4 linked regions of the Alligator mississippiensis genome follow. The protein of the gene in region 1 interacts with the protein of each later gene in a pairwise test. Links are inferred from orthologs where the notes say so. Each region holds a gene or a part of one and is shown in the gene's direction. Other genes may lie near its edges.

Region 1 (7,736 bases):
ATAAATACTTTTTAATATTAATTGTGGAATGTATTACTACTAAAATATTTTAAAAACAGGTTTACTTCCCATTACAAATGAAAACATTATTTAAATTTTGGAACTCTTTAATGAAAACTTAAAATTGGAACTTAACCTAAATAAGATGTTGACAAGAAATTTTTCCTTTAGCTCATAAAAACAAATATTTTCCTTTTACCACCTCTTCTTAAAGTGCATTTTTTTAGAAAAACAGCTTTTCACTTGCATACACTTCATGAGATATTTTAACTGCTTGTTGACAAAAAATATTGTATTATTTTGATTAGTTATACCTCATGTAAGAATAGCAGTGGGTTTAGAAATTCCAGCATGTCCTGTGTACAACAGACTTGCAATATTTTTTGCTCTATACCTGCAGTATAATACAGATATTACTGCAATGTCCTTAACATTGTTAAAATGCAACAGAGTTTTGGGTCACATAATCAAAATATAGTCCCTTGTTTCCACAGCTTTTTTATTAATAACTCTTATTTAAATGCTTATAAAACAGATTGCATTTCTCGCTTGATGTCCAGACCTGTAGGGGCAAAGGACTACTGACTACAGTTACAGAGGTTTGATTATGAGACACCAGGATTGGCTCCTATGGGGAACATCTTCACCCGAGTGCTTACATAAATAGTTGGGTTGACCAGTAGGAGAATTCACATGAAAAAGGGAGCACAGGAAGTCTTTGGTCCCAGGCATGGAATAGTTGTAATACTGAGGCTGCACTAACACCTGCTAATTGAAGGAAAGGTTGTGTGAGAGAGAGAGATGGACTGCAGCAGATTCTAATTTTTTCTGTGCCTTCTCACTGAGGCAGGGCACCCCCACAGGTGGCAGAAGGTCAGGGATTCAGCCCCCGCCAAATGCGGGGCAGCAGGTAAAGCCGCAGGGCTGCCTGGCCGCAGGCTTCAGGTGGCTGCAGTAGGGGTGGGGAGGGGCATGCACACAGCCAGGATTGCAGCCTGGCATATGAATCCCTGGCTGCCCAGCATAGCAGGCAGGCCGACTCATCTTATCCAATAGAACCTGCAGCTGCAGGGGGCCCCGCAGCCAGCCCCTGCCCCTGACACTGCCGTTGGCTTCTTCAGCTGCTTGCCACCAGCTCTCTTCCCCCCCCCCCCACCATGCTACTGCCAGCTTCTTTGCATCAGGGGGCCCCAAAACATTGTGGGCCAGCCCTGAGAACAGGCAAATATCATCAGTCTATTCTGTTAGGAGGAAGGGGCATGGGGAGGCAGATCGAGGTTCCCATGGTAAGGGAGAGAGTGGGGCAGAGGCAGGGGCATGGGCTGTGGTAAATGGGGCCCTGGCCAGGCTGGGTGTTGGGACAATCGGAGCTTGGGAAGCTTGTCCGGGCGGGGGGGCAGCTTCTGCTGCTGTGTGCACCCTGACTGAGGCCTGGGGGGGGAGGGGCACATGTCCCCCCAACCTACAGGTGAGGCAGAGGTGGCTGTCGTTGTGTGCTCAGGCTCTGGGCCCCACTACAGCTGCCCCAGGAGTGGTAGGACGCTACGCGCCTGCCGCTGCTGGGCTGCACCGTGCCCCCAGCTCGCCCAGTGGCAGGACACGCGTGCTGCCCCTGGAGCAGCTGTAGCAGGGCCCAGAGCTGTCTCTGTCTCGTGAACAGATGGGGGGGGGCACATGCCCCCCAGGCCTCTGCCAGGGTGCACACAGCAGCAGGAGCCCCCCCTGCACCCCTGGATGAAACGCCTGGGCTCTGATTGTCCCACAGGGCCCCATTCACCGCAGTCCCTACCCCTGCCTCTGCCCCATTCCCTCCCTCACCGCAGGGACCTCAATCTGCATCTTCCCCCCCCTCCCCCCCGCCCTTCCTGCACACTTGCCTGCTGGGTGCAGGGGTGTGGTGCACAGATGCACTCAGCCCTCCCAATAATTTTTTCTCCTTCCATTTATGGGAGCCCCACTAGCAGTTCACAACCTGTATAATTTAATGCTGGCAATGTGCTGGGGTGGTGGAGGTAATAAGATAAGATTGACTTCAATTTGAGCAGTACCGACACCTGGGCCTAATTTCAGAGTGATAAAATTCTTCCACAGTTCTTTACTTGTGTATAGTTTGGTCATCCATTGAGTTCATTTGTCAGTTGCCAGTAGTTACTTCCATCTGAATTTGGTATCTCCATGAGACAGCTTACATTTGAATGCCTTGCACTGCAGGTGCTTATCCCCAGGAAACACCTGTGCCAGGAATGCTCTGGCATGTGGCAGGTTACTTTGGGTGGGGTAGGAGAGGCTGGGGCCAGCATAATTGCTGGCCCCAGATGCCTTACCTGGGGTTCTGGGGGATATAGGGAACAGCAGCTGTGGCACTCCTGCAGCTGGAAACCTAGCTGGCAGCCCAAGTGTGGCACTGGCCAGCCAGGTTCCAATTGTGGGCAGCATGCGCTGCGGCCATGTGCAACACACTGCTTTTTTTGGTGTGGGTTATTTTGACCCTAGGCTCCCCTGGGGTCAACCCCCCCCCTCCTCCCTGCACTGCAAAGTAGCAGCATGGGGAATGCCTACATGTGCAGTGTGTGGCACCGGAGATGGGTCTTAGGTGCCATGTACCACATGTCCATGCTTGTCTGGACGCACCCATGGAATAATGGCTGGTTGAAATAGGTGTTACACAGTGCAGGAATCAGCTTGTGGTGAGGAACGGATGCTTTCAGGGCATTGTAGTGTTCTTGACACAGCAATGGAAGCAGGAGTCAGTGTTTTTTTAGGTTGTGTTGCAAGGACTGGGTGCAGTGTGATCTAGGCTAGGGACAGACATTCAAAAAGCCAGAGCCTGAATTGATTCAATATTTGCAGGTTAGTCTAACCAATGTAGATTGAACTGATTTGCAAGTGACCAGAGGTTCAGTTTTGATTCTGGAAATGCAGGCACATGCCTGTGATGGCTCAGGCTAGAAGCCAGAGATCTTCCTTTCAGGCTAGGGGGAAGCTGAACTGAGACAGGTGTGGCCAGGCCTCAGCAGACTGAGTTCGTTGGACAGGGGTTTAAACCCCCAGCCTGGCCTGCAGGGACCCCAGCCAGGGTCTACCCCTCTTGTTCCCTTCTGCTCATGGCTCAGCATGGCCTGGAACCCCCAAAGCCCTTGTCCCAGCTAGCAGGTGATCCCACTGCACCTTCCCAGCTGCTGGTGCCTAATTTTACTTGGGGCAGCCCAGAAGCAAAGGCCTAATTGTGGGGAGAGAGGGACCTAGGAGCAAAGTTCCATAAAGGAAAGCTCCTGTCCAGTGGCCCCTTCTACCCACTGGAGCGCAGCGCCTGAGACGGCCACAGTCTTTGCTATGCTGTGCATGGCAGGAGCTCACCTGCTGAGCCCCAGCACTATGACCTGTGTCCCCTGGGCACCAAACTGGGCGCACTGTGCTCACTGTTCCCTTATCCAGTGGTGGCACAGCACAGCCCCGTGTACCAGGCTCCAGGTTCCCTGTGGCTTCCCTGCTGCCGCCATCACTGTTGGGTGCCTGCCCTGGCCGTACAGGTAGGTGCCAACACCACTGCCGAACTGCGGTCAGCTACCAGGTGTGCAGACAACAGCTGGGAAGCCCTGGGGTAGGGCCCTGCCCCTAGTGCACAGGGCTGTGCTGCATCTACAGCTTCCCCGCTGCTGCCTGGGGTGTGGCCAGACGCAAACCTAGCATGGTCTCCTAAGGCCAAGTGGGCAGGGAGGAAGTTTATTCCCCACTCCATCCCCTCTCCCACCAAGAGACTGCAGCATGGCCCAACCCAGCTACTGCCTCTGCTGCTTGCACCTGGCCAGGCAGACCCCAGCTGTGGTCCCCTGGTGGGTGGGGGAAATAAACCTCCTCCCTGCCCCCTTTGCCTCAGGGGGCCATGGCAGGCTGGCATCTGGCCATAGCCCCACCCCTACTCCAGCTAGAGAGCAGAAGGGCAGGGCCAGCCCTGCTCTCTGGAGCACAGCGCATAGTACAGCACCACCCAGGGCTGCAGAGCATGCTGGGAGGCTGGTTTAACTTAACCCAGGAAGGGGTCTGGGACAGAAATTCTATAAACTAGTTTGACCTAAATCAGTTCAGGCTGATACTACATTCAACCAGGTTTCTCTCAAACTGGTTTCAGCCATTTTGAAACTGGTCTGTGTGCACTGAACTTCTGTTCTGTTATAGGTTTAAACCAGCTTCTGATCACTTCAACCCGTTTATGTGTAACTTCTGTCCCTTGCCTTGTGGGGTGATCAGCACCAGCAAGCATATTCTCAAAACGAGGGTAAAGCAACTGAGTGGGTGGGGGGTGTTGTATTAGTAGTGTGCTGTTCCTGAATTGATATTGTAGCCCGTCCTCACTTTTGGGGGGAGGGGGCAAGCTGCGCTGAGCCTTAACCCCCCGCCTGAGCCCGTGCTCAGGTCACGCGCAGCTGGAAGAGCAAGCTACACGACCGGCGGCCGAACCCAACCAGCCACAGCGCATGCGCGTCAGGACTGCTACGCACCCTTTACCCTAGTGTTACATGCGCACGCGCAGCGAGTGACCCGGCAGTAGCCGGAAGTACCCCCCTCTTCACAGCCCGGAACACCACCCCGTTTCGGTCCCACGCATGCGCACTGCCCGCCCGGCCCTACCGCGCACGCACAATGCAGAGTCACTTTGCTGCGCATGCGCAGCGTGGCTGAGCCGCGTCTCCAACGCCAAGCCGGGAGACACCCCCTTCTAGTAACTTCCCCGCGGGGCGACGTCATCACCGCGCGCCACGCTCCGCCGGGCTGTTTCCGTTGAACCCTCCGGCCGCGAGGGCTTCCGGCGGCGCGGCGCGAGGGAGCGTGTCCCGAGCCGGGTTCCCCGCCGCCATGGCAGACAGTGGAGAGGGGCCCCCCGCGGCCCGCAGCCCCCCGGGCTCCCCCGCCGCCGAGCCGCGAATCATTAAAGTCACCGTGAAGACGCCCAAAGAGAAGGAGGAGTTCGCCGTGTCCGAGACCAGCAGCGTCCGGCAGGTGAGGAGGGAGCGGGGGAGAGGGCGCCCCTTCTCGTCCAGGGCCGCGGGGCGTCTCCCCGTCGCCTCGGAGCTCCCAGCGGCTTCGGGGCGGGCGGAGCGCGCGGCCTTCCCCCCCCCCCCCGCTTCCGGGCGCCGCCGGCCTGTGCGGGGCCGGCTGGGGTGAGTGGCACCCGCTGAATCATCCCCCACACACCCCCCTTGGGGACCTGACCTGTCCACCCCAGTCCGGACCCAGTGCGAGTCCATGAGATGGTAGAAAAGGAGGGTCTGTGGAGGTCTAGTCTAGCTCCTTGCTCTGAGCAGGGCGTTCCCATCTGTGTGGCGCCAGCCAGGGCTTTGTGTTAAAGGTCTCCAGGGATGGCAACTCCACAAATTCTTTAGGCAGCCTGTGCCACTGCTTTGCTGTCCTCCGGGGCAGATCAGGCTGGCAGTGGTGGGAAAAGAGCAGGGAACTAGCGAAAGAGGTGGGTTTAGGGCCAGAGCTGTCTGGCTGAACACCGCCGCCCCCCTCTCCCCCCCCAAAAAAAAAAAAAAATAGGGCTCCAAGGCCAAGGACAGCCTGCTCTGGTCTTGCACCTGTGTTGAAATGCATTCAAGTTTTTCAGCCTAGCTGGAAGCGTTCCTGTTGAAGTCATAGCTCCCTTTTCTGTGGCCTAATGAGCTGTATTCTTCCCACGTGGTACTGCTGCCTGTTTCTCCATAGCATCTGACATAGCAGGCTGTATGTAGCCTTTGGCTTGTGCCTGTGAGTTAGTCTGTAAGGGGCCACCCTGCCCAGCCTGCTGCCTGTGTACATGGCCAGTGTCTACATGCAGAGACTGACGTGCCAGCTGCCTGGTAGCTAAAGAACAAAGCCACCTTTTAGGACAAGGCTGCCAAAACAAGATGGGGGTTCCAGTAGCAAGATGCAGGGCCAGCCCCCTGGCTAGACTTTCCCTCTTGCTAGCTGTCAGGAAGGGGGAGGATGCTGGAATTTCTTCCAGGGTATCGTCCCTGAGCCCTTTTGGGATTCAGTCTCTTATCTCAGCTTTTGGCTTAAACATGTCTGAAATTGTAAAATTCACTGTTTTACTGCTGAGCAGGGGAAACATCTCTAGGCTCCACCATGCTACCATGGAGCTGTGGCAGGGTTGGGTGTTCTCTGTTAGTTTGTTGCAAGCATGTTTTCTGGCTTTTCTCCCCAGTATAAAACTCAAGCACATCTGCCTTTGCTGCTGCTCACTGCCATTCCAAGAAACAGCAGTGTAAAATGGACATTGTTCTTTGCATTTCCTCGCTGCTCACAGAGACCTGAGTAGTATCCCTGAAACTGACTGGTTTTATTTCTGCTGTTTTTGTCAAACCTGTACAGCATCACATCTGATCTGTTTAGAGATGGTTGGGGAATATAGATGCACATTTCACAAAAACTGATGGATGTTCCTCCTTAATTTAAAGCTCCTTACTGGGTAAAAATGACACTATGCAATTAAGTATAAGCTGATGACCTAAAAGCCTTTTAAGAAATAATTTAAAAAATGTCCCTGTGGTCTTGCAGGCACTAGATTAGGGTTTGCTCAAACAGCTTTCCAGTTGCAAATGGATACACTGACATTTGTATTTATAACTAACTGGGAAGAGAAATGCACTTAGATGTGACTTTTGCCATTAATAGTTCCAAAGACATTTAAGCTAGACATTTAATTTTGAATTGCATTTCTTAAATGTGAAGCTTTAAAACAGGTGAAGTGTTTCCTCTGACAGCTGTCTAAAAATTGAAATTGCTAGGCTTTTTTTTTTTTTTTTTTAAACAGAGACATGAGATGCTTTCACAAAGCGATTTACAGAATATTTGTGTGCCCACTTAAAATGCAGATACGATAAGCAAGGTGGTTAAAATAAGCTTACCCTGTTGAGGAGACCTTGAGTTAAATCATGGCTCTGTTGAAGTCTGTGGAAAAAACTCCCACTGATTGTAATGAAGCCAAGAAGACTTCACCTCTGACTTCCAGCCCTCATACTTCTGATTCCTATACAAAAATGGAGGCAACTTCTAACCCCTACAGGGATTTAAGGCCTGCAGTTCCTGTATCTTAGGTATTAGTAGCTACGCCTACACTATGAAACTGACCTATTGTTAACAGTATCAACAATGGTTTCATTTGCATAAGCAGTGAAAATTTCAATGTACAGACAGAACCAAATAAATTTTGAGCATCAAATCGTCTGTATCTGTTGTGAACAGTGGCTTATTTGACTAATGCAAGCAAGTTATTGGCATTATCCTCTTCCAAAAATGGATAACGGTCCTGAACTTATTTAGTAGCTTATAGGTATGTCTGGAGTGCCTGTGTAGTCCTATGCAAGTTGAGGTCATACGTGGTACCTCTTTGAACCAGAAAGGGTAAATTTCTTATCTAGCTGCCAGGTGCAGTGTAGGCTCTAGTACATAAGCTTGTTCTTTCATAGGTGTTTCTGCATGGTACTCCATTGTCATGTAGACGTACCTAAATAGCTTTTCAAATCACCTTGTAATGAAGGAAATGGTTAGTAATTTGAGACATTGATTGTCCCTTTAAATAGAGTTCACTGGGTTGTTTGCTTTAGAGTAGAGCAGTTGGAATCCAAGTAAATGCTTTGGCTCCTTAGAAAAGCCTGTACAATGCTGAGTCTGTTTTGTGCTGCTTGATTGATGTGTAAAGTGTTACTGTCACTGTGGTAGAATTTTCAAATAATGTCCAAGTCGGATTGTCATTG
Region 2 (7,485 bases), on another chromosome or scaffold:
CACCCTTATTTGACATGTTGACTTCCCTTCAATGGATTTGTTCTCATTTGCATCAGATGAAGATTTGGTACGCTATCATTAACACAAGGTGCAAATGCTGTCAAAAAAAGCTCTATTGGACAAACTGAGATGCTTTGGCAGAGCCATCCCCAAATGTGAAGCAGCCTGAGGCAGACAGGCTTGCATTAGCAAAGACTAAATTCCAGAGGGCCAGACTGTGATCTCGGCCACTACTGTGTAACAGGAAGCAACTTTAGTTCAGTGAGTTCAGAATCTGAGGGGCATATGAAACAGAAATATGAAATACATCCAGGTTCTACAATCTTGACAGTTCTGTGTTGGCTGGACTTCGTAATTGAAACAAAGGAACCACAAGGCGACAATGAATTGGGCCTAAGAGACAGCATGAATGATCTAATGGATGAAGCACAGGACCTAAGGTTAGGAGGCCTGGCATTCGTTCCCAGCTCTGCCAATGGCTTGCTGTGTAACCTGGGGCAAGTCACTGTATAGCTCAAGATAGCAGTGGACCTGATCTCTGAGGCCCTTGGTGCTACTGTAACACTATTAAGAGTGATAATCCTAGTATTTATCTGTATTAAAATAGTCTCCTGTTGAAGTTTTCCTGTAGCAACATATAAATTACACTTTGCCTCAACACCTGTCCAATTCTCTCTCACTACAGTATGTAAAATAAAAATAATCTTACAATTTAGGGGTCACTGAACTTTTCTCATTAATGGCAAACTGTCTTTTTTAATATCTTCTCTGGGTTTTAGTGTTTTCCATGCACATTAATTGTCTGCTCATCTTCTGAGGCAAACTTATGGGGGGAGACCAGGTGCTACAAAACTTATGCCATGTTGACGCTTCTTGGCTAATCTATTATGTATTGCAGGATCTTGCTTTGGGGCCCTCCTAGGTTTCCTGGTTTCCAAGTTAACACAGCAAAGGATTACTGCAGAAATTATTCTCTTTGAGCAGAATTCTGAACTAAATGGTTATGTGGAGTCAGGGGGATGAATATTTTTTGCATGAATACATTTTCCTGTTTGCTTTGAGCTTTTTAGGAATTGAAACATTAACAGAGATAAGATATCTCTAAGAGCCCTAAGGGAAATGATGTGGGGGGCTGTTAATTAACAAATACCTACCTGTCCACCTCAGCTAAGATAACGAGTTTATTTTTGCTAGGTTTTAAGAGCAAAATAATATTAAAACTATTGAAGACCCTGCAGAGTGCATGGAGGCAAGTGGAAAGCAGCTGGTTGGGAAAAGCAGGGGGAAAAAGAGAGTGTTGGAGGAAGACAGAGAGTGGCAGAGATTGCTGCGTGTTCTGTTTGTCTTTCTCAGACCTAAAGTCATGTTTTTTGGGGAACAGGGTTGAATAGAACTTATTAATACATGCAAATTTTGTTAAGACCCAGGCATATAATTTAGGTGTGACACAAGCACATAAACTGTCTTCTAATTTGCTTCTCTACCTCCTGAGTATATTAATAAAACTTCATCATAGAGAAGCTGGTTTTGAGTCACTTTAATCAGCCTCTGGCCACATGTTCCCAGAGGGAATGGTTTTATAGGTGCTGAATGTGATTTGAACTCTTGCCTTTTTTTCAACAGCTGAAGAACGGGAAGACTGCAGCTCAGAAACCCAAAGAGCTGCATGGTTCCTCTCTGAAAGGCAGAATAGAGTAAAATCTATTGTCCAAGGGTTGCACTCTAGGGGCATGTCCCCACGAGCATGTTTGTGGTGCCGCTAATCACAGGCAACATGTATGCATTCATTCACCATGCTGCTGATTTGCAGGATGGCAGGCTTTTTTTACATCAGGAGATCCCAGTGTCAAAAAATCCACTAAGAAGTGGTGTGGTGCACATGGCTTCAGCATGAGCATGTACCACCATAAAGCGAGCCTGGGAAAGCAGAGCCGCACTGAATGTCCCTGTGGAATGAGCACTAGCTGATCAGCGCTGCGTGTCAGTCAGACTGGTTTTGGACCGATTTGATTCTGTTGAATGTGGAATTCAGTCCAGTGATTAGGACTCCTCAGACTCTTGCTTTACTTTGACTTCTTTGGTCTTCCAGGACTGTGCTTACAACTTGAAACTTAGCAAAGCCTAACTTTTCTCTTATACATTTTTTTTTTCTGTTTGACTCAGATAATAAATTCTGAGCCTTTTATTGCATTTCAAGTTTGTTGAGGTCTGAGATATTTACATACAACTGTGAAGAAATAAGCACTCCAATATAAGACTAAATGGAGGTTAAATAGATTAAAATTGAAAATATTTTCTAGAATTTCTGTATCTGAGGTGACAAACTTTTTCTGGATGAAGGAAAAGCTCTCCTCTACCCACAGAAATAGATATTGTAGACATTTATGTTGGTGAAGGAAATAATTTTGAAATGTGATAACTGCAGATATTCTATTAGAAACTCCATGTCTGCAATAAGTTGTAGATTATTTTTGTTGCCATTAAAATTATAGTAGGGGGAAAATTACTTCAGCACTGATAGAATCTTAGTTTATTTTTAAGCCAGCTGACCTTTAGTGATCCCCGTTTGTACAAACTGGGAAACAGACTGAAGTTAAGACTTCAGGAACAGTTACATATTTTGGTGTTGGAAAATATGGTTTCCCTCAGCCAAGTAAACATGTTTCCTGACACTGTTTTCTGCTCATCTGATTAAGGCACTAAGAAAGTGATGGTTGTCTCATGCTACAGACGGTACATATTCACTGTGTGAGAGAGACCCTGCCAAAATGAACTGAATAAGTGGAGCAGACATAGAGCAGTGAAAGGTCTTGTAAGCTGGCAACAGAACGTAGGTGTTTCTGACTCCCAACATGCTAGACCATGCTATCTTGGGCTTGGTTTTTGGAAACAACTGTTCAAAACTCTCTAACTCTCCCTCCTTCGCCTCTGCCTTGCCCATTGTTGGTACCCTACAGGACAGTGGTAGTCTGAAGAGATTTTCATTTTCCTGAAAGGGATAAACACAGTCTTATCCTATATCTTACTAGGAGCATTATGTTAGGTGGAAAGAGAAAGGGCTCCAGAGGTCCTTTCCAGCTACATCCAGTATAGTGAGGAGGTGCCTGGTCTGTGCTTGTGTCAGGATTTTTGCTCTCCTCATGACAATTTAATTCTGTAACATTTATTGGTTTAGAAGGTACAGCCATTCTAATTTTTTAATTTTGTGCTGTAACAGGTCAGAATTGTCAGGAAAGATTTAATTTGGGGGAAAAGAAGGTCTTGTTTTATTAGCTGAGGTGAAATAACAGTTATGGAATAAAAGGAAGCAGAAGGAATTTACTGTCATACAGAAATGGGTTTTAGTGATGTGCTTATATCTTGCACTGACTTACAAGCAAACCATATTTATTTATCCTAGTTGCCTACCTGTATAAGATCTAGCATTTACAAAGCTAGTATGTAATTTAAACTGAAATAAAATGCTAGTTTTTACATGGGGATACAGTAACACTTGCTATTACCTTTATTCTCTCCTGCATACACCTTCCTCTTTCTCCTGAATCCAGGAGGAAAAAAATAGGACAACGCTGCTGTTCCTGCAGTTCCATTCCATCTCTGAGCCACAGCAAAGAGCCGCTCTTCCGCCTGCATGGGATGCAGTAACATTTGCACTCCTGCATACTTTTGATCATTAGTTTTGGGCAGTGAATTAATATAGATGGTCACAACCCTGCCCCAGTCTCCTGCAGGCACTGAGGTTGCTCCATTGGATCTTCCATGTCAGATTGAGGGGTGGGATTTGTCCCAAAGGCATTAAAAGGCTGGGGTTGTTCAGTAATGGCCTTTCCCAGCACTTTTGATGTGCTTTTAGATGGCAGGATCCTGAAAGAGACAAGTATAAAACTGCACCTTAGGGATCTTGGCCTGTTGTTTCCTGTGAGCCCTACCTTGTTATCACCCTACTCCTAGGTCAACAGTACATGCTTTATAGTCTCCACTTGCATCATCTTCCCAATCCTACTGAAATTAGAAATATTTATGTGGGTTCTTTCTGAACAGAGCCTGGTCTTTTAACAGCTAAATATCTGGGGAAGGCTTTCACCTATGAAAGTGAAGCATTTATTTATTTTACATTGCTAAATGCTTTTCTGGGCATTCTTAAAGTGTTTGTGGGTGCTGAGAGCCAGAGGAAGCTAGGTACTTTCTATTTCTTGTACTCAGCATATGAACTTCTTTAAAAGATTTAATAAGGGTTTTTTTTTTCCCACCCTACTTATTTTCAAGATTTGAGCATCTCAGTTATTCAAAGGTTCTCAGTGTTTTGGACGCTATCAGGGTTGCAGTGTTCTCTAGAGGCAGACAGGTGGCATAAACATACAGACAAAATTGTCTCAGAATAGCTGAAACTATTCTTTTCTCCAGTATTCTCTCACCAGCTCAGTTGGGCTGGTGGTTTGTGACTGGCGAAGGTGACGTCAATGTGGCAGTGCAGAGTCAGGTGATGCATGGTATAAGCAGAGGGAGCTGTCCTGGTGCTGAAAACACTCCACAAACTGGGAGCAGACAGACAAGGAGGAAGGTGCTTTGCTGTCACTCTGCAGTCTCTAAGACACACAGGTAAAGCAGCTTTTTTATCATAGTGCAGAGAGATGCTCAATGTAATCTTTTCTGTTCATAGCATTTTAAAGACTACACAATTGTAGGAAAACAGCACAACCGGGGCAACCATTTGAAATAACAACCTGATGCACTTCAGTTGGCACTGAAATGGTGCTGCCTGGCTGACTGCAGGTTTTTCCTCTTCCTTTTTATTCTTTTCTCTAATTGTTATAGGATTTTAAAATAATTAAAAGGGTAGAACCAAAAATAGAGAGTAAGGGGCGGGGGGGAGGGTAAGTGAATGATTCTGCAGTTAATGTTTACAATGTAGTACCAGATTCATTTGTTCAATGAAGCTAACAAGCATCATGTTTCTGTCTGCAAATCTTTCACCCTCTTAGTGGTTCACTGACATGTTTACAACATCATTCTTTAGGCTTTATGGGTGTAAGAGGAGGGGTTGCCTTGGATACAAATACAATTCAATTAATCCTCTACACATCTAAACAGTTGTTTTAATAATTTGGGAACTGTTCGGCTTATGAGACCCTAAAAATAGTCTTTATTATTAATATTTATACTCCTTGCCATAGGAATACAAATTTAGACCAGCTTTAAGAAGGCTAATTTAGTGCATATAGTTTTAATTGCTAGGAAAGTAAATCTGCTAACAATAAAGAAGGCATGTTGCCTTTCCATATTTTCCTTATGGGAAGACTCCCATTCTCACTAGAGCTCATGAAATCTTTGTAAGTTCCATAGGAAAAGAGTTCTCATGACAATTTTTTATAGGAAATTTTACATTCTTATCAGAGAACCATGTGAATCTACAGTGAGGGACTGGGGGAGAAATATTACTGCTGCCATGGAAACCTTAGCGATAGAATTCATTTTATTATTTTGCTTCTTTTCTAAAGAACCTCTGTCACTGTGTTACCTTTGATAGTGTGCATTACACTGACAATTTGCTTTCCTCATTTTCTTAAATGGTGACTGCCTAATCTGATATAAAAGAATTTGGGTAAGGAATAATTTTGCTGTTTGTCAGGTACAAACTATACAGATACTACAACACAAATGAATACAAACACCTTGACCAATCTAGATTGATCTCTCAATTATGTATCTATCGGGGAAACAACCATTTAAAAATGGCGTATTTTAAGAGGACTAATATGGAATGCTGTGTATAGGTTTTTAAGACATTCATCTTTAAAATGTACTTCATTTTTCTCAAATTGTAAAATTAAAGTTCTGAAATATCAAGGTAAAGCACTTTTACCCTAAATAAGGCATTATGTTTAATAAAATAATTTTATAGCCTAATGTCAGAGATTTAACCTCAAAACAAAATACATCATTTAATAATACACTAGAAGTGAAACAGATTCAATCAAAAGAATGCCTGCAATACAATGAGAGAATTGTATATGATCTCTTTTCTAAAAACAAAACATTCACTTGAATCAAATGATAGTAGAACTCCAAAGCAAACTTTGCCTTGGTATATCCATCCAATTCAAATTTATTTCAGACATTTTACAGAAAATGTAAAGATGCATACACTGTATGCATTGTAAGTGGTTGAATTCATCACCTCTAGTAGTGGGAGGTTATTAGTGGACTTTTTCCCTAGAAAAGCTAGAGATATTTACTACTTATTATGGAAAATTATTATGCAATAAACTTTCTGCCAAATGAAAATGTACAGAGTATTTGATTAAATATATTAGTTGGTAACTTTTCATTAAACATATTATTTTTTTCCACTAGAAACATTAATTTTATTTGATTACTAGTATAGATTTTATTAAACAGAAAATTGTAAGTGTTTGGGTTTTTTAGTGTCTTGAGAGCTTTTTCCGAGGTTGAAGCCTTTTCTGAAACAGAATATACAGAGCTCTCTCTATTTTGTTTAATGGAAAACTACAGCAGATTTAGAGAGATCCTCTAACCAACAGTAAAACTGATATTCATAGGTATCAGTCCTGTAGATTATTACTGCATGATGTATTTGATATTCAGACTGATTGTCTGAAGCAGTCAGAGAAAAGGGAAAAACAGTTCTGGGGAACTGATGCTGTTTTCATTAGTTCTTTGTGTCAAGCTATTTCATGTTACACTACAATGAAAAATAACCTGAGTGGAAATACCTATGAGTGAACCAAAGGAAACACATCCACTGTAATTTTCTACTTACCACGGTGAATAACACACTGCTATATGCGGGGTTCTCTGTCAGCATGAATCACCAGCACCTCAACAGGATGTTTTCCAGAAGCCCATGGGAAAAGTGAAGAGCCAAAATAGGTCAATTAAGAGAAGTGTTCTCTATCTTTACCTTTTTTCTCCTTTACAGTACTTTATTCATTAATGCAACTGCATCAGAGAAGGAAGAGGCTAATACTCCTTACAGCCTATTCCTGTGAGATAAGTGTCTTTGACCACAGTGGGAGTGAAAAAGTGGGCAGTTCCTTGCAGGACTGAGCCTCTGTAGATACACTTTCATATGTTGCTATACTCCACTCATGTGATTTCTGTATGATGAATATCATTTTTTCACTTGTTTTACTTCTATTTTTTAGATAGAGTGAAATTCTCTGCTGGTGTCAATGGGTGCAGCTGCACTGACATAAAGGGATATCATCCATTTAAACCAATACATAATTTGGCCCATTCTGGTTTCCAGAATTATGTCCACTCTGGGCTCCATGCTACTCCTATGAAATGAGTGCAGCTACTCTGACTGAAAGAAACAGAATTGGGCTTGTTGCCTTGTTAAAGTCAAAATTAAAAACTGATTGGCCACCCTGAAAAAATTGGTTAGAGGGCACAGAGGAGCCTCTGGCATATTCATTGCCTATGGGGAAATTTTTACCCCTGGAGCTTATTAACTAGAATTCG
Region 3 (7,812 bases), on another chromosome or scaffold:
ATAGTACACCAGGGACTCTGACTAGTCATCACTCATGCCCAAAGTCATGTGTTCCTCCTAACTCTTGACATTAACCATTTAGGGTCTGGTTCAAAACTCATGGAACAGATTGCACATGACCGCAGATCTTACGGGTCTAAGTCAGAGTTGAGGCAGTCCAAGGTCAGCACCAGCCTCTATTTCAGAGTGATTATTCAAGTTAGGCATCACCTGATTATTGTTAATGTGCTCTTCCCAACACGCAGTCCAGCTCTGTCTTGCCCTCTTCCACTCCGGCCCCGGAACACATCATTGCTTCCATGCTCCCTATCGACCGACTGGCTCAATTCATTTATTTTGTCATAATTATGAATCAAAGCACAAACAACGGTGCCGGCTCTAGACTCAGATAACATGGCAAATAACAAGCAGTCGCAGGTCATGTCAGCTGCTGCTGATGCTGCTCTCATCCGCTCAGAACTCTAATACAGTACAATAGCCATTATACCCCCACCCAACCACTGCACAATAATTACTAGGAGCTTAGGCGGCTATTGAAATGCAAATAGTATGCAGAGAGATTACTGGGGAAACAGGCTGAGGCAATACAAATGTTGTCCTGTTCATTTCATTTAGTTTGAACTTGAGTGGGATCGTTGTCTTGAGCTTTTCTTTCATTAGAAAAGGGGAGCAGATGAAGGAAAACCAGGCAGAGAATCCGTGCATAAGCTGCCTTGCATAGCAGCTGAACATGAGCTGCTCTGTATTCTCTGCAATTTCCTCCTCACTTCCTTCTTGCTGCTGAATAAGGGTCACCGGGATTTCCCCCCCCCTTCTGCTACGGCAGCATTAGAGAAGAATTTGCAATTAACAATCTAAACACACCACTGCACTACGTTGCCTTCATGAAACCCACACGCTTTCATTAACAGCTTTTCCTGGGCAGGCTCCACAATGCAACCTGATCTAGACAGGATCCACAAGATCCACATGGAAACTAATTGACTGAATCCACAGCAATTTACTGTTCCTGAAAGGTTTGGGATTGACCAGCCTTAGAGTTTGCAGTCTTCTGCTGAACCACAATACACAAGATTTTCACGGACTCCCCGGCCCCCACCGTCTCTCCAGAGGGACTGCTTTCCAAGGGGAGTGCGAGCTGCATTTTTATCAAACCATCCAGCCCAGAGCCTTTTCATCTGAGGCTGCTTCTTTCAGTGATCATGTCTGCAATGAGGACACATGCATGTTGGGAGTCTAACATTATTCATCTCTGTTCACCTGCACCACTAAAAATACCCCATTAGGTGACGAGTCCTTTCAATCACTGTTAACCAGGACCACATCAAAAGAAGCAGAGAGTGGGATGCAAAACTTGAGTCTTTCCACCTGGATTGAGATTATTTCTAAAGCATTTGTTTCATTTGGCTTTTAAACGAAAGCAATGTTAAGATATCAGCGCAGAAAGCTCTCCCTATCTGAGCTACTGACTACCCAGGCTTATGAACATCAACGCATCCATCTCCAAGCCAAGGAAGACAGAATTTAGTATTTCCAGCAGAAATGAGCGCCATTATTCATGCCTGCACGCTGCCACCTCTGAAAAGTGAGTCAGAATGGGAATGTTTACACATTGGTTTCATAAAGTCCCACTCAAATTCCAGCTGCAGCCATGTGACGGGCCTTTAAAAGAGCAAGAGAAAGATTTTGTGCCCAGAACCATTATCCAAGTATGCTCTCTGTGCTGTACACTCAGGCAAACCCACATACTGCATCACAGCTGCAACCCAGAGCCTCTGACATCCAGACTGCGCTCAAACTGCTGTGCAAAACAGCCATTCCTGAGGCCTCCTGCAGAGCTGACTTCCACACTAAAGAGCTACAACAGAAACACTGTTTAGTTGAAAATAATCTTTTAATCAATTATATGAATTCAACTGAATGGTAAAAGAAATCAGGATTGCATTTTATGATCAGTTTTCGTTTCTAATATTCAGTTTTCGGGTGTCAGCTGATCCCACCAGACCAATATCTAAGAACATGGTATGGCACTGAGCAAAGGAGGAAATAGCAGTACCCACTGCTGCCAGGTGGGTGCACATTAACCCTGCAAGAAACTTATTGAGATGTACCTACATTTTGACCTTCCACCTTAGAAAAATGCTAGGAATAGACTATGCAGAAGGGTGCATGGGGGCAGATAGGGTCAGATCAGGAAGCACATACGTATGCTCATGAAGACCACATTCCTGACTCTTGACTACATCTACAGCATCTCTGCAAAGGCTGCAAAGGAGCTAGATCCCAGAGGCCCAATTATTCTATTATAGTTCTACGCGGGACAAGTTGGTTTTGGGGTTCTTTTTAGTGTAGTGCAAGATTAACCAACTGCAAGCCAGAATTTTCCAATAGTGTGTATATGAGTTCATTTTACACAATCACTCTATGTCTTGTGCCTGAGACCTGGAAGTATAAGGATCTGAAATAAATTAATTGCATTAGAAAACTCCTAGGAGTTCACATAATACATAATCAAAAATAAGATTAAGTTACATGACTTGGTTACTACCTGCTGACATGCAGCAAGTACAAGGCAATCTCTTTCCCCCCCTCCCTAGGAGATCAGTTCTCTCATTTTAAAATAAATGACATAATCATTTCCTATAGCTAAGGTAACTTTAAATGGCAAATGCCACAGCCTTGTTAAACTAATCTGCATAAGCCACAGATAATGCTGTATCCAGCCAACATAGTCTGAGAAAAAAGCCTAAGAGAAACAGATCAGAACAATTCCTGTGTTACCTCCCAGTCCAAAGCCACATAAATAGGTTGTGGAATCGCTAAAGTTGCTGTCTTTCAGTGCCACCTTATATCTTCAGTATTTCCTCAGACCCACAGTCAGTACAGATACAGGATGTTCTTGAGACACTACTGAAGGAGCTTCAGAGGTGAACTGTTTGATTTATGAATATCCCAGAAAAAAGAGTCATTCTATATTTTGTAGCCGTCAACATAGATCTGACCCTTTTCAGGCTGCCTAGCCACGGAGAACCACATTTGCAGAGTGCTGGAGTTGGTCCTAAACAGCTATTACTGTGCATCCCAGATCTCCAACACGGGATACAAAAAGTTTAAGGTGCAAATTTACTTTTACCCAAAGTCTTCCATGCAGGGGCTTAAGTCTACACTTTGGGGCATAAAAGGCATATTCTGGTACTTGAATGCCAATGTGCACTCTAACTTAGACTGCCACAACTGAATGTTTTTCAGCCCTATGAGATGAGTTTATGAGGAAAGTGGGGAACTAAACACCCCTTTGCCCCACCTTTGGGTGCATGCTGAGATGTGGACAAAGAGTGTGCCACCGTGTTTAAGAACATGGAGGGCAAAAAATGTATGTATATATGAATACAATATGTGACCAAAGGGTCATCGTTAGGAATAGATCACCAGTATGCTCCTATTTTACACACACACACACACCCCTATACACATATATACACATACACCCACACACCTAGATACACACATATATATACACACATACACCCACCTAGATACAGATACACACATATATATACACATACACCCACCTATACACACTTAGATATACACATATACATACACATACACACACACCTAGATATACACAGATATACACATACACACACCTATACACATATATACCTAGATACACACTGAGATCTACATATACACACCTGATATACACATATATACACATACACACATGCATACACCTATACATATATATACACACATACACACACCTAGATATACACATATATACACGTACACAAACACACACACCTAGATACACCCCCCAGATACACCTAGATACACATATATACACACACATACACACACACACCTAGATATATACATATATACACATACACACACCTACATACACACATACACCCCCTTAGATATACACATATATACACACATACACACCTAGATACACACAGATATACACATATATACACACACCTAGATACACATACACACCTGATATACACATATATACACATACACACATACATACACCTATACACATATATATACACATACGCACACCTACACACACCTAGATATACACATATATACACGTACAAACACACACCTAGATACACCCCCCAGATATACACCTAGATACACACACATACACACATCTGATATACATACATATACACTTACACACACCTACATACACACCTAGATATACACATACTTATATACACATAGACATATATGCACACACATACACACACACACAGATAGACACATACAAGCACACAGATAGACACACACAAGCGCGCGCACACATACAAGTACACACACACACACATCTATACACACACTGCTCATCTATTGCTAACAATGGCCCTTTGAAATCACACACGCGTATCTCCATCTGTACACAGATCAATCACGTGTACGCAGGCAGGTGTGTACATGACGTACACCCGCCCACACACCCACAACACCGAGCACGCACGCACACACCCCCCCCCCCACATACACACGCGCGCGCCCCCCCCGTGTGTCAGGCGCGCCGGCGCGGGGCCGCCACAAGCCGTGCGGCGCGGCGCGGCGCGGCGCGGCCGGCGCCCCTCCCCCCGCACCCCCGGCCGGGCCGAGCCGAGCCGAGCCCCGCGCCGCAGCAGCAAGGCCCCAGGCGAGGCGCGGGATTACCTCAGGCGGCCGCGCCCGCGCCCCCGGTCCCGGCCCCGGCCCCGGCCCCGCTCATCCGGCCCGGCCCGCAGCCCAGGCCCCGCCCCGCCCCGCCCCGCCCGCCCGCCCGGCAACGCCGCAGCAGCGCCCGCCACAGCCTCGCGCCGCAGACGCAGACATGGCCCCGGCCCCGGCCCCGGCCCCGGGCCGCCGCCCCCCGCTGCCGCCGCTGCTGCTGCTGCTCCTGGCCGCGGCCGCCCTGCTCGGCTCAGGTAAGGGGGGGCCCGGCCCCGCTTTTGTTCGTGCGCGCCTGCCGGCACGGGCCGCGGGGGGGGGGGGCAGCGGGCAGCGACGGGGCTGCCACAGCGGGTGTGCAACGGGAGAGGAGTGCGGCACACTCGGCCCCTCTGGGCCTCCCACCGCCACGGCTTCGTGTCCCTGCCGCACACGCGCATCCCTGAGGCACACAATGGGAGACATGGGAGGCCAAAGGCTAAAGATGACCCCACAGCTGCCCGCAGGACCGTGCTTGCACATGTGTCTGTGAGGCACAAAACGGCAGGCGCCTGCAGCCAAATGCAGCCACGTCTGTCAGAGGTGACCGAGCGCACCCTACAAATATATATGCACTGTTATAGTTATATAACGATATATATATACGATGCACAAAACAGTAGCCGCCTGAGGCCAAATGCAGCCGCTTCTGTCAGAGGTGACCGAGAGCACCTTACACATATACATACTGTTATGTTTATATATACGATGCACAAAATAGTGGACGCCTGAGGCCAAATGCATCCACTTCTGTTACAAATGAGCTAGAGCACCCGACAGCTATGCATATGCAGCTATATTTATATAATTGTGCACGATGCACCAAATAGTAGATGCCCGAGGCCAAATGCGTCCGCTTCGGTTAGGCAGAGGTGGCTGAGCGTCCTACAACAAACTTTTGCCCGTGAGCCCCTTTATTCCAGGAGACCACAGGACTCTTGCCAGCATCGGCCCTTAGGGATGTGTGGGGAGATGAGCCCTACCCCATTTTGGGGTCTGCATATCGGAGCTGCCGAAGCTAGAAACCGCCCCACTGGGCATAACGGTGATGGAAAGGAGGAGGAAAGGAAAGGTTTTTTGAGGAGGAAATTAAGTCAGGATGAAGTTTGTCACGGGCAGCGCGATTTTGGGGGGGTTTTTTGCAGCACACTCGGAGGTCGGACTGGGAGCGAAGCGAGAAGGAAAATAAAATTTGCAAGTAAGCGGGTGAGGACGAGAGTCGCTGGTCCGATGAGTCCAGACTGGTCCGAGTCCTAGCAGCAAGATCAGGAGGGAGCAGGGCTCTGCAGAGCACGCTGCCTTTGTTTTGGGAGGTCACAGCGCTGCGGTTCGGGTCTGATCTCCGTTTGTTTTAGGTAGGCAGCTGCCCACTGTGTGCAGTTCATTACTTGTCTGAATTGTGCAGAGCTCCTTCCCCCTTCACTTTTCTCCCCCTCTTCCCTGTTGAGCTAGACTGGGGTTCCCAAACTGATGTGCATACCCCTGGGGGTGCATAGAACAGCCCTGGGGTGGGGGGTATGCAGGAGAAATTGTACAATGGTGGATTTAATTTTCATTATTATAAATCATGGGCAGAAGGGGTTAAAATATAAGACATATGCTGGTAGGGGTACGTAGGTAAATGTGGAAGTGGGGGGTACATAATAAGAAAAAAGTTTGGGAATTGTTGAGCTACAAAATATTTAGTTTAAAGTTTGTATATGATGTTTAGTTTTTTAGGGTAGAAAAGACTGTTAGAACATGTTATTTGGGCAGGAAAAAAGTAGTAAGAACGGGTAGTTTAGAGAGAGTTTACTAGTGGTTGTATTTGCTTGTAAGCAACAGTTTAAATGGTCTCCAAACCCTGCCTGGCTGCCTTGGCTCTTGATCCGTCTAAGATAAGACAGACAGATTGCTTCAGTTTACGCTGATGAGCTCCAAGATTAAAGCAATGGAGCTGGGTTCTGCTCTGTGTCAACTTTAAAAGGGGCTTCTTCTCCTGGCCTGGCCTAGCCTTGCCGGCCAGAAGTTTCCTGTCCTCTACTGCTGTGCCACATAGCATTTGTCTGTGTCAGACCTCTCTGTGCACTGCCTGCCAGAGGGACCTAATGCATGAATGGCTTGTTCATGTGTCCAAACAGTTGAGGAGAGTAAGTCCCACTCATTTTCAACAAGACATTGGGGGAAGCTTTTGAAGAAGCCTTTGTTCAAAGGCTCTTGGATCCTCAAAGATGCAAAGTACTATGTAAATATTTTTGTAAGTATTGTTTTTAGCAAGTCACAGTAGTTCATCATATCAGCATCATCTATGGATTTATGAACTTGCACAGTAGAAAGGAAAAATTCATGCTGTTCTCTGGATACATTCAAGAAACACTTGGATGCTCAACTTGCTGGGGTCATCCAGCCCTAGCGTCCATCAAATCTATGGTAGATAGTCTGTCAGAGTAAAACAGGTTGCTTCTGCAAGGCTGGGTCATTTCACCACTTCTTCAGGAGTCTATCAAGTAGTTCAGCATCCTAGTCTTGATCCTGAGATAAGAGGAGAGCTTTAAAAGATAAAAATACTTAAAGACATTTAAAGCTGGGCTGAAGAACAAAATCAAGTGACTCCAGTTCAGCTACTTGCTGGGTCCTGCTATAGTTTTTTCTCCTCTGCCCCATTTGTTGTCGTTCTCTAAGCATTATTCAGTGTTTGTATGTCACAGGCTTGCAGTCTTTTGTGGTTTAAAAAGTAAGGCATAGATGCATTAGTTTACTGTGATCCAGTGATTAGTTTGAGTATCTTAGTCTTCCAGTGCCCCCATCTCCTGCCTTAGCCTCCTAAGGACTGTAGAGTAGACACATGTCCCACCTAGAGACTCTTAAAGGGTTTTTCTTAAACAATGGTAAAATGGTAAAGCCAAGTACAAAACATTGCATACTGTTCAGATGGGAAGGTCTCCAACAATTTTACTTGAATTTACTTGTTGGTTGCCACTGTTGCAGCTTGTCTTCATCCCATGCTCACATGTTACTGTGAGCATGGACAGAGCTCCACTTCTGGACTCCATGTCAGTGTTTGCATTATGGATGCAGCAGGAAAATGTTTAAATCCAGAACAAC
Region 4 (7,026 bases), on another chromosome or scaffold:
AAAAGAGCCAGGCACTTTAGCCAGTCTCAAGTCCGGAGGGCTGTGCCTTTACTTCCAGGATCCCAAAGCCGCCTGCTTTCTGGAGCCAGGGCAGGTTTGTAAAGGGTTAATTAGGACAAGAGGCACTGCCAGGGCTACCAGTACTGGCAGCAGGGGGAGCTTTGGATGCCACAAACCTGGGCAGCTGTTGACCTGGAAGCCACACAGGAATGCCCCACTCAAACAGTGGTGACTGACGGGTGAAGGGACATGCCGGGGTCACGCTGCCAGGAAGTGGCAGACTCAGACCCCAGGAGTCTGGGTTCACAAGCTCTCTCAAATGGCCCGGCCAGAGGGTTTTACAGCTGGGTTTGTTCTCAGCCCACTCCGCTCTCCCTGCTGGAGTCTTGGCACTGCGAGCGACCATGTCACGGGCAGAGGGAACTGGGCCAGCACAAGCCCCCGGCACATACCAGCACCGAGAGGTCGTCCAGCTGGAAGATGTCATCGGGGACGCCCGAGTTCTTCAGGCTGTTTCCTCGGGCCACGATCGCCTGCAAAGGGGAGAGAGAGCTTGGGGCAGAGGTCACCCAACAGCTGCAGGGAGGAGAAGAGGCAGGAGGAGGGATCCTAGGGGTGGGGGGCAGGGAGCAGTGGGGATTTTGTCCAGCTCCTGCCAGCCTGTGGGCTCCATCCCGCCAGCTGCTCAGTCCTGCAGAACCAGCAAGTACCTCCAGCCTCTGATCCCCCCTGGGCAGGACAGGGCCCCAGGCTGGGTCAACCTCAGTGGCCCCCAGGGACTTTCCAGCCCAGAGGGGGGCTCTGAGTGTACCCTCGATTGAGTCCATGGCTGCAGAATGGAGCCCCGATGTGCACCAGGCCACCCTGCGAGTCAGTACGAAGACACGGGACAGAACCCAGGAGTCCTGGGACCGCCTTGCATCCGGGCAGCAGGGTGGGGGTGCAGGGTGGCCCCGGTACTTCCCTAGGGCAGCTTCCAGGGTGGCTTTGGGAACAACTCGTTCCAAGAGACCAGCCTGGAGGGAAACCTTAAAGGCTCTAATGGCGCTTGCACATGTGCTCTCTGGTCTCCATAGCAGGCTGGTGGGAAGCCAGAGTCCCTCTCCCCTCCGGGAAGGCAGTGCTAGCATCCTCAGGACAAACCCCCATCAACCAGAAGCCTGCAGCAGTCCTGGACCCAGCCCAAGCCAACCCCAACCGCACCCTCCAGCCACAGGCGGGAGCTGGCCGGCTGCATCCCAGCACAGCAGGCAGCTCCACAAGTGACCGAAGGCCCAGAGCCACGTCGCCGGCCCTGGAAAGATGATGGGCCCTGCGGGCTTCACACGCTCCCTCCCTGCAGTGGGCGCAGCCTAGCAATCTGGCTTTGGAGCACCCGACCCCAGCACAGACTGGGCCAGAGCAGCCCTTAGGCGTGGGGGAGGTCTGGCACCACCCAGCCAGGGGAGCTGCTCAGCAAGATGCCAAGAAAGGTGAGGGCTGAGGATTATAGCCCTACGCCCCCACAAGCATCTTCATGGAGCGAGGGATTCAGCTTCTCCAGCAGGGAACCGATCCAAGACAGCACCGCACGTGGGCACAGTGGCCTGGTCCAGCCTCAGCCCAGCCGGGGGCCTGGGACACTCAGCTCCACCTTTCCCTGCTGCGTGGCACCTGCTGGATGTCACTGCAGACCAGGCCAGCGAGCTCCCTAGTCCTGGCTGTGCTGAAGGGGCTTGTGCATGGCCGAAGGTGAGGCTGCCCACGTAGCTGGACACCAAGCCCCTAGCGCCTGCACGGGGGGCGTTGGGGCACAAAGGGCACTTACCCGAAGGCAGGGGAGGCCAGAGAGCTCTCCATGCAGTGTGGTCAGGCTGTTGTGGCTCACAGACAGGTGCTCCTGTGTGGAAGCCAGAGAGGCAGTGAGAAGAGCCAGGGACACAGTGAGACTTGCACACCATCAGCTCCGAAGAAGCCCCCTCGAAAGTCAACCCACATGCTCCGGTGAGCCTGGGTCAGGTCCCAGGCACCTTTCACAGCTGCAGCTGCAGCTGGGGTCAGATCCTGCCATCAGCATAGGAGCAGGTGCTGGCTCCTCCTGGCCAGCCCTTTTGCCAGCCTTATGGTGCTGCCCCAGGCACCAGCTGGGTGAGCTGTGTCAGTGCCAGGGGCCCAACTTGGCTGGGTGGCCCCCCTCTCAGCTGACACTGGAAAGCAAAGGGGCGGTTGTGCACACGTGTGTGCACATGCCAGGACACTGATCGGGCAGCCCCCACTGCCTCCCACCTGCCTTCCCACTCACCTTCTGCCAGGCCCATGCCTTGGCTCTCAAATGCCCGTGTCTCAAGCTCCTGTCCTTACTCGAAGCTCCCTGCACCGCCAGCCCTAAGGGGAGCCACCCTGTGGGAGCGTGCCCGGCATCCAGGCACCGTCCTTACCAGCTTCTGGAGTGCAGAGAGCTCCTCCGGGAGGTAGCACAGGCCCGTGCGGTTCAGCTTCAGCCATCGCAGGCTGGTCATACATTTCACGTGCTCTGGGAAATAGCCGCCCTGGGAGAGATGCGAGGAAGCATTTGTGGCAGAGGAGTGGGTCCCAGATCCCTCGTCTGCCCAGGATAGCCTCCTGCATGAAGGTGAGTGCCCCAACCCGGCCCTCTCGCTGTTGTGAGGCTGACCAGGGGTCTTGCCCACATAGACAAGGCTGCAGGCAGCTCCACCTGTGCACGGGGCCTTGTCGGCCACAGAAGCAGGGCTCCCTGTGCCTTGAACCAGCAGAGCCGTGCGTCATCCTGCCCAGCTAAGCAGCCCAGGTCTGGCAGTAGCTGCCTTCCCTTCTAGGGCTCTCAGCTGCTGGGGCACGGCCTGCAGCTCCCGGAGACACAGGACTGGGAGGGGGCACGCAGGTGAGTCCAGTGCCCTACACAAAGCATCCATCCCGGTTCCTCCTGCCCACCCCAGCACTGCTCCGTGTGCCCCCAGGAGACAGCAGGACGGACCAGGAGCCACGTACACCCTCCCACTGGGTGCTGCGTGCCCAAGGAGGATAATCATGGGGAAGCGACACCCAGCACAGCAGCACTCAGTCCGGGAAGAGGCAAAAGTCATATGAAACTCGTCCCAGAGATGATGCCGGCCCCAAAAATGCATCCCAGGAGAACGGCCAGCCCCATCCGGGATGGCAAAGGACACAGCCAGGCCTGCACACCCTCCAGGGTCACAAGGGAGATGGCTTTTCAGATGGAAGAGACTCGCCCGCCTCCGGACGCCCCAGAAGGAGAGGTGGGGGTGGCAGGGTGGCACGGTGGCCCATCCCAACCCTTCCGCTCCCCGTCCGGACCAGGTCTGCGGGTGTGGCGGGGACAGCCCGAGGCCCCCAGTCCCAGCAGCTGCAGGGCACAGCCACCCTGCACCCACCCCCGCAGACCCCAGCGCGGTGGCACTGCTGTGGGACCTGGGTCTCGCCCCGCTCCCTTGGCCGGGGAGGCACCAGCTGCGCAGGGGGACGAGCCAGGGGAGAGTCCGGCCTGACCTCACCCTCCGGCACCCAAATATAGCACCCGGGTGGGTCCTCCCCCGCCGGCCTGCTCATCGCACCGTGACGGGCACCGGCTGGGCTCGGCCCTCGATGGCAGGCAGGGCAGCCGCGAGGGAGGATGAGCGCCGCGGTACCTTGAAGTCGTTGCCGCTGAGATCCACGCCGCGGATGAAGGGGAGCACGCCCGTGGCCGCCATGGCTCCGCCGGCCCGCGACAGCCGTCGCCCGCAGGAAGCGGGGCCCGCCCGCCCTTAACCCCTTCGCCGCCGCGTCTCGGTGCGGACCCGCGCGCCGGGGCTGGAGGCTTTCGTTCCGCGCCGGGGCTGGAGGGGCGAGATCCCGACCCCGATCCCGATCCGCCGCCAGACAGCGCCGAGCACAGCGAGCAACCCGCGCCGCTCCTCCCGCTGAAATAGGGGCGCTGCGGCTTTAAGGCCAGGAGCCGCCGGGTTCCTGCCCCCTTTGTGACGCACGTTCCATTCCGGAACGTTGCAACGCGGCCGCGCTCGCTCATTGGCTGCCGCCGCTACATTGTTGCCAGCGCCGGGGTCGTGCTGTGGAGGTGCTGGTTTGTCCCGTGGACGGGCCCTGCCGGGGCTCAGAGGGAAGGTGAGTGCGGCCGGGGCGGCCCGCGGGTGGGGATGGTGACTCGAGGGTTGGGCTGAGCCCTTGGTCTTCAGTGGGGAGGCCGTCCCGTCCCTTCCCTTCCCCGGGCGGGACTGGGCTCCGCGTCCCCTCCGCTCCGGCCCGGAGCTGAGGTCAGGCGGGGAAGGAGGGAGCTCCAGTACTGCCCCTGCTCGGAGCGGAAATGGGGGGAAGCAGTTGCTTCTTGCTTCCCTGAGCCGGTCGGCCTCCCCCGCCTGCTCCTGCCCTGCCCGCTGGCTTGCTCTGCATGGAAACATCAGTCCGTGCGGCTGTGCCCGGCCTGGGGTCGAGCCTCCTTCCTGCAGTCGGGGGAGGCCCTGGGCCTGGTGCAGGGCACTGCTGTGAACACATGCCGCAGCACCATCCTGGTCGGGGCGTCCGCTCGTATAAGAGACCCGTCCTGGAAGGGGCTAGTTTCTGTCCCTTAATGAGCACACCTCAAGGAGTGATAGCTTTTCAGAGCCCTGTTGATCCTGGGATCTAGTGTTTTTGCCCTTCTGGGGCCTCACGAGCTTTCCGCTGCTGTGCGTTCCAGCTTCCAGGCTGTTTCAGAGATGCACCCAGCACAGGCCTGCTCGGCGCTGGGTTGCTGCTTAGCTGCAAGGCGTACATGGTACCAGGGCACCTGTCTTGGCTATAATAGGCAAACTGCCCCAAACCAACAGGAATCTGGCACTGAGCTCCTAATACCCTCTAATCCCCACCTCCACTGTTGTTTGCAGCTTTTCTCTTCCCATGGCGACATTGCTTGCAAGCAAAGCGGAGTCATATTTGGGGGGTGACTCCCATGCTGCATCTGTGAGTCATTCCTAAGGTTTCCAACCCTGTCGGGGCTCGAGCTGTGACATTCGCAGAGGGACCTGAAGTGGCTCTGGGCTGGGGGGTAGAAACGCTGTGCTCTGCCCCTACAACTGGGAAAGGAGAGGACTGCCGTGGAGAAGGGGCTTTGGGGGTTAGAACAAACTGCCACTTGATGCTGCCTGTAGAGCCCGGGGCCTGGCTTGCTTTGCTGGCTGCAGGAAGTAAGATGCCTACACAAATGATCTGGAACGGACCTTGCCCCGCATTGAAGTTTCACAATCTCCACACCGATCTTAAAGGAAGGCCGTGTACGCTGTGGTTGTTGATGGCTAATGATACTCCGTATTTACCCAGCACCTTGTCTACAGTTCATAAATATTCCACCTTCCCCGGACTATTGCATGTTTGTCTCTTCTGCAAAACAAGGAAGTGCTCGCAAGGGCTGTGACTTGTCCCACTGACTCACAAGTGCCTGGGCTATGTTGGAGCCTGGACTCCCGACATCCCACTTTACTACCACAGACAGGCCAAGCTCTTATCTGAGAGCTGGAGCTGAACCCTGTCTTGAATTCAGTTAATTCGCAGCAATGAGAGTCTGAAAATCCGGTTGCACTAGATACCTCTCTTTCCTTAGAGAACTGAGGAAGATGTATCTTTCATAGATTGCAGAGTCGGAAGAGACCACAATGGATCATCGTGTCCGACCCCCTGTCCAGGCAGGAAAGAGGACCGAGGTCAGATGGCCCCATCCAGATGACTATCTAGCCTCCTCTTGAAGCCTTCCAAGCTAGGTGATGGCACCACCTCTCTTGGAGATCCTGGCCACCTTTACTGTGAAAAATTTCTTCCTAATATCTAACCTAAATCCACTCTCAACTAGTTTACACCTGTTATTCCTAGTCAGTCCCTGGGGTGCCCTAGTAAACAGTGCATCACCTATTCCCCGTTGACCTCCCCTAATAAATTTATAGGCGGCCACAAGATCTCCCCTCAGCCGTCTCTTGTGAAGGCTGAAGAGATTCGGCTCTCTCAACCTCCCCCCCAGGGTCTTTCCCGAAGGCCACTAATCATGCGAGTGGCCCTCCTTTGGACCCTCTCGAGATTCCCCGTGTCCCTCTTGAAGTGCGGCGCCCAAAACTGGACACAGTACTCCAACTGCGGCCTGACCAGTGTCGCATAGAGGAGGAGCATCACCTCCTTTGATCTATTAGTCATGCACCTGCTAATGCAAGACAAGGTGCAATTGGCCTTGTTGATGGCCTCGTTACACTTGGAGTCAATTATGACTCCAAGATCCCTCTCTGCCTCCCAGCTGCTGAGAAGGACACTCCCCAACCTATAGGTGTGCCGGGGGTTCCTCCTTCCCAGGTGGAGTACCTTACATTTATCTTTATTAAATTGCATCCTATTTCTCTCTGCCCATTGATCCAACCTGTCCAGGTCGGCCTGAATCTGCTCCCTGCCCTCCTCTTTGTGCCCCTTTCCTGCTGTTGCACTACCAGGTGCATGGATTCAGTAACCTGTGAAGGCCTTGGTGTTCCTGTTGTAATATATCTTTTTACAGTGTCTGTAGTGTTGATAAGTAGGGCTGTCATAGCAAACGGTATGTTGGTTGTGGAGGCATGAAGGGGAGTGGGAGAGACTGAGTCTAAGAAGGCAGGAAGGAAGAGTGTGTGTGTGGGGGGGGTGGGGAGTGGCTGGTGATGGAGGTGGAATGATGTAGAGCCAAGAAAGGGAGTATGAGGAACTAACAGGCCTAAGGTTAGGTGTAATGCATGTCCACTTATGGACTGAAGCACATTATACCAGGCTCAGGAGCAGACAGACATGCGGTTATCTCAGGGTGGCCCATGCAGTAGATGACTGCTACAGGTCCTCAGTGCTAGCCCGTTTGAAATCTCTAGCAAATGGCTAGTTGTGGACAGACTCAGACAAACTCTAAACTGGTGTAGCTTGCTCTTGGCTTGACTCTTCCAGGGGTCATCCTCCATCAGGTTGGATGATGTTATTCCAGTTCAAGGAGTTGTCATTTGTCCTCTACAGTGGGTTATACTAGGGTAAGTGTTG

What was found.
Region 2: the proteins of UBQLN1 (region 1) and SCG2 interact in binary tests that used the Homo sapiens proteins (3 or more experiments, as listed by UniProt). The two-hybrid records come from large-scale screens. The link is inferred for Alligator mississippiensis from reciprocal best matches to the Homo sapiens genes UBQLN1 and SCG2.
Region 3: the proteins of UBQLN1 (region 1) and CD99L2 interact in binary tests that used the Homo sapiens proteins (3 or more experiments, as listed by UniProt). The two-hybrid records come from large-scale screens. The link is inferred for Alligator mississippiensis from reciprocal best matches to the Homo sapiens genes UBQLN1 and CD99L2.
Region 4: the proteins of UBQLN1 (region 1) and MIEF2 interact in binary tests that used the Homo sapiens proteins (3 or more experiments, as listed by UniProt). The two-hybrid records come from large-scale screens. The link is inferred for Alligator mississippiensis from reciprocal best matches to the Homo sapiens genes UBQLN1 and MIEF2.

What each region holds. Positions count from the first base shown.
Region 1 is NC_081826.1:202,971,530-202,979,265, reverse strand, and holds the start of UBQLN1 (ubiquilin-1), read left to right. Parts: upstream 1-4,718; 5' UTR 4,719-4,854; coding exon 4,855-4,998; intron 4,999-7,736. UniProt on the Homo sapiens protein: Plays an important role in the regulation of different protein degradation mechanisms and pathways including ubiquitin-proteasome system (UPS), autophagy and endoplasmic reticulum-associated protein degradation (ERAD) pathway.
Region 2 is NC_081830.1:51,202,349-51,209,833, reverse strand, and holds the start of SCG2 (secretogranin-2), read left to right. Parts: upstream 1-4,484; 5' UTR 4,485-4,599; intron 4,600-7,485. UniProt on the Homo sapiens protein: Neuroendocrine protein of the granin family that regulates the biogenesis of secretory granules.
Region 3 is NC_081831.1:74,498,173-74,505,984, forward strand, and holds the start of CD99L2 (CD99 antigen-like protein 2), read left to right. Parts: upstream 1-4,795; 5' UTR 4,796-4,852; coding exon 4,853-4,946; intron 4,947-7,812. UniProt on the Homo sapiens protein: Plays a role in a late step of leukocyte extravasation helping cells to overcome the endothelial basement membrane. Acts at the same site as, but independently of, PECAM1.
Region 4 is NC_081836.1:55,062,860-55,069,885, forward strand, and holds the start of MIEF2 (mitochondrial dynamics protein MID49), read left to right. Parts: upstream 1-4,009; 5' UTR 4,010-4,122; intron 4,123-4,166; exon of another isoform or gene 4,167-5,750; intron 5,751-7,026. Other genes in the region: FLII (protein flightless-1 homolog), read right to left, coding at 453-533, 1,808-1,879, 2,418-2,528, 3,648-3,710. UniProt on the Homo sapiens protein: Mitochondrial outer membrane protein involved in the regulation of mitochondrial organization.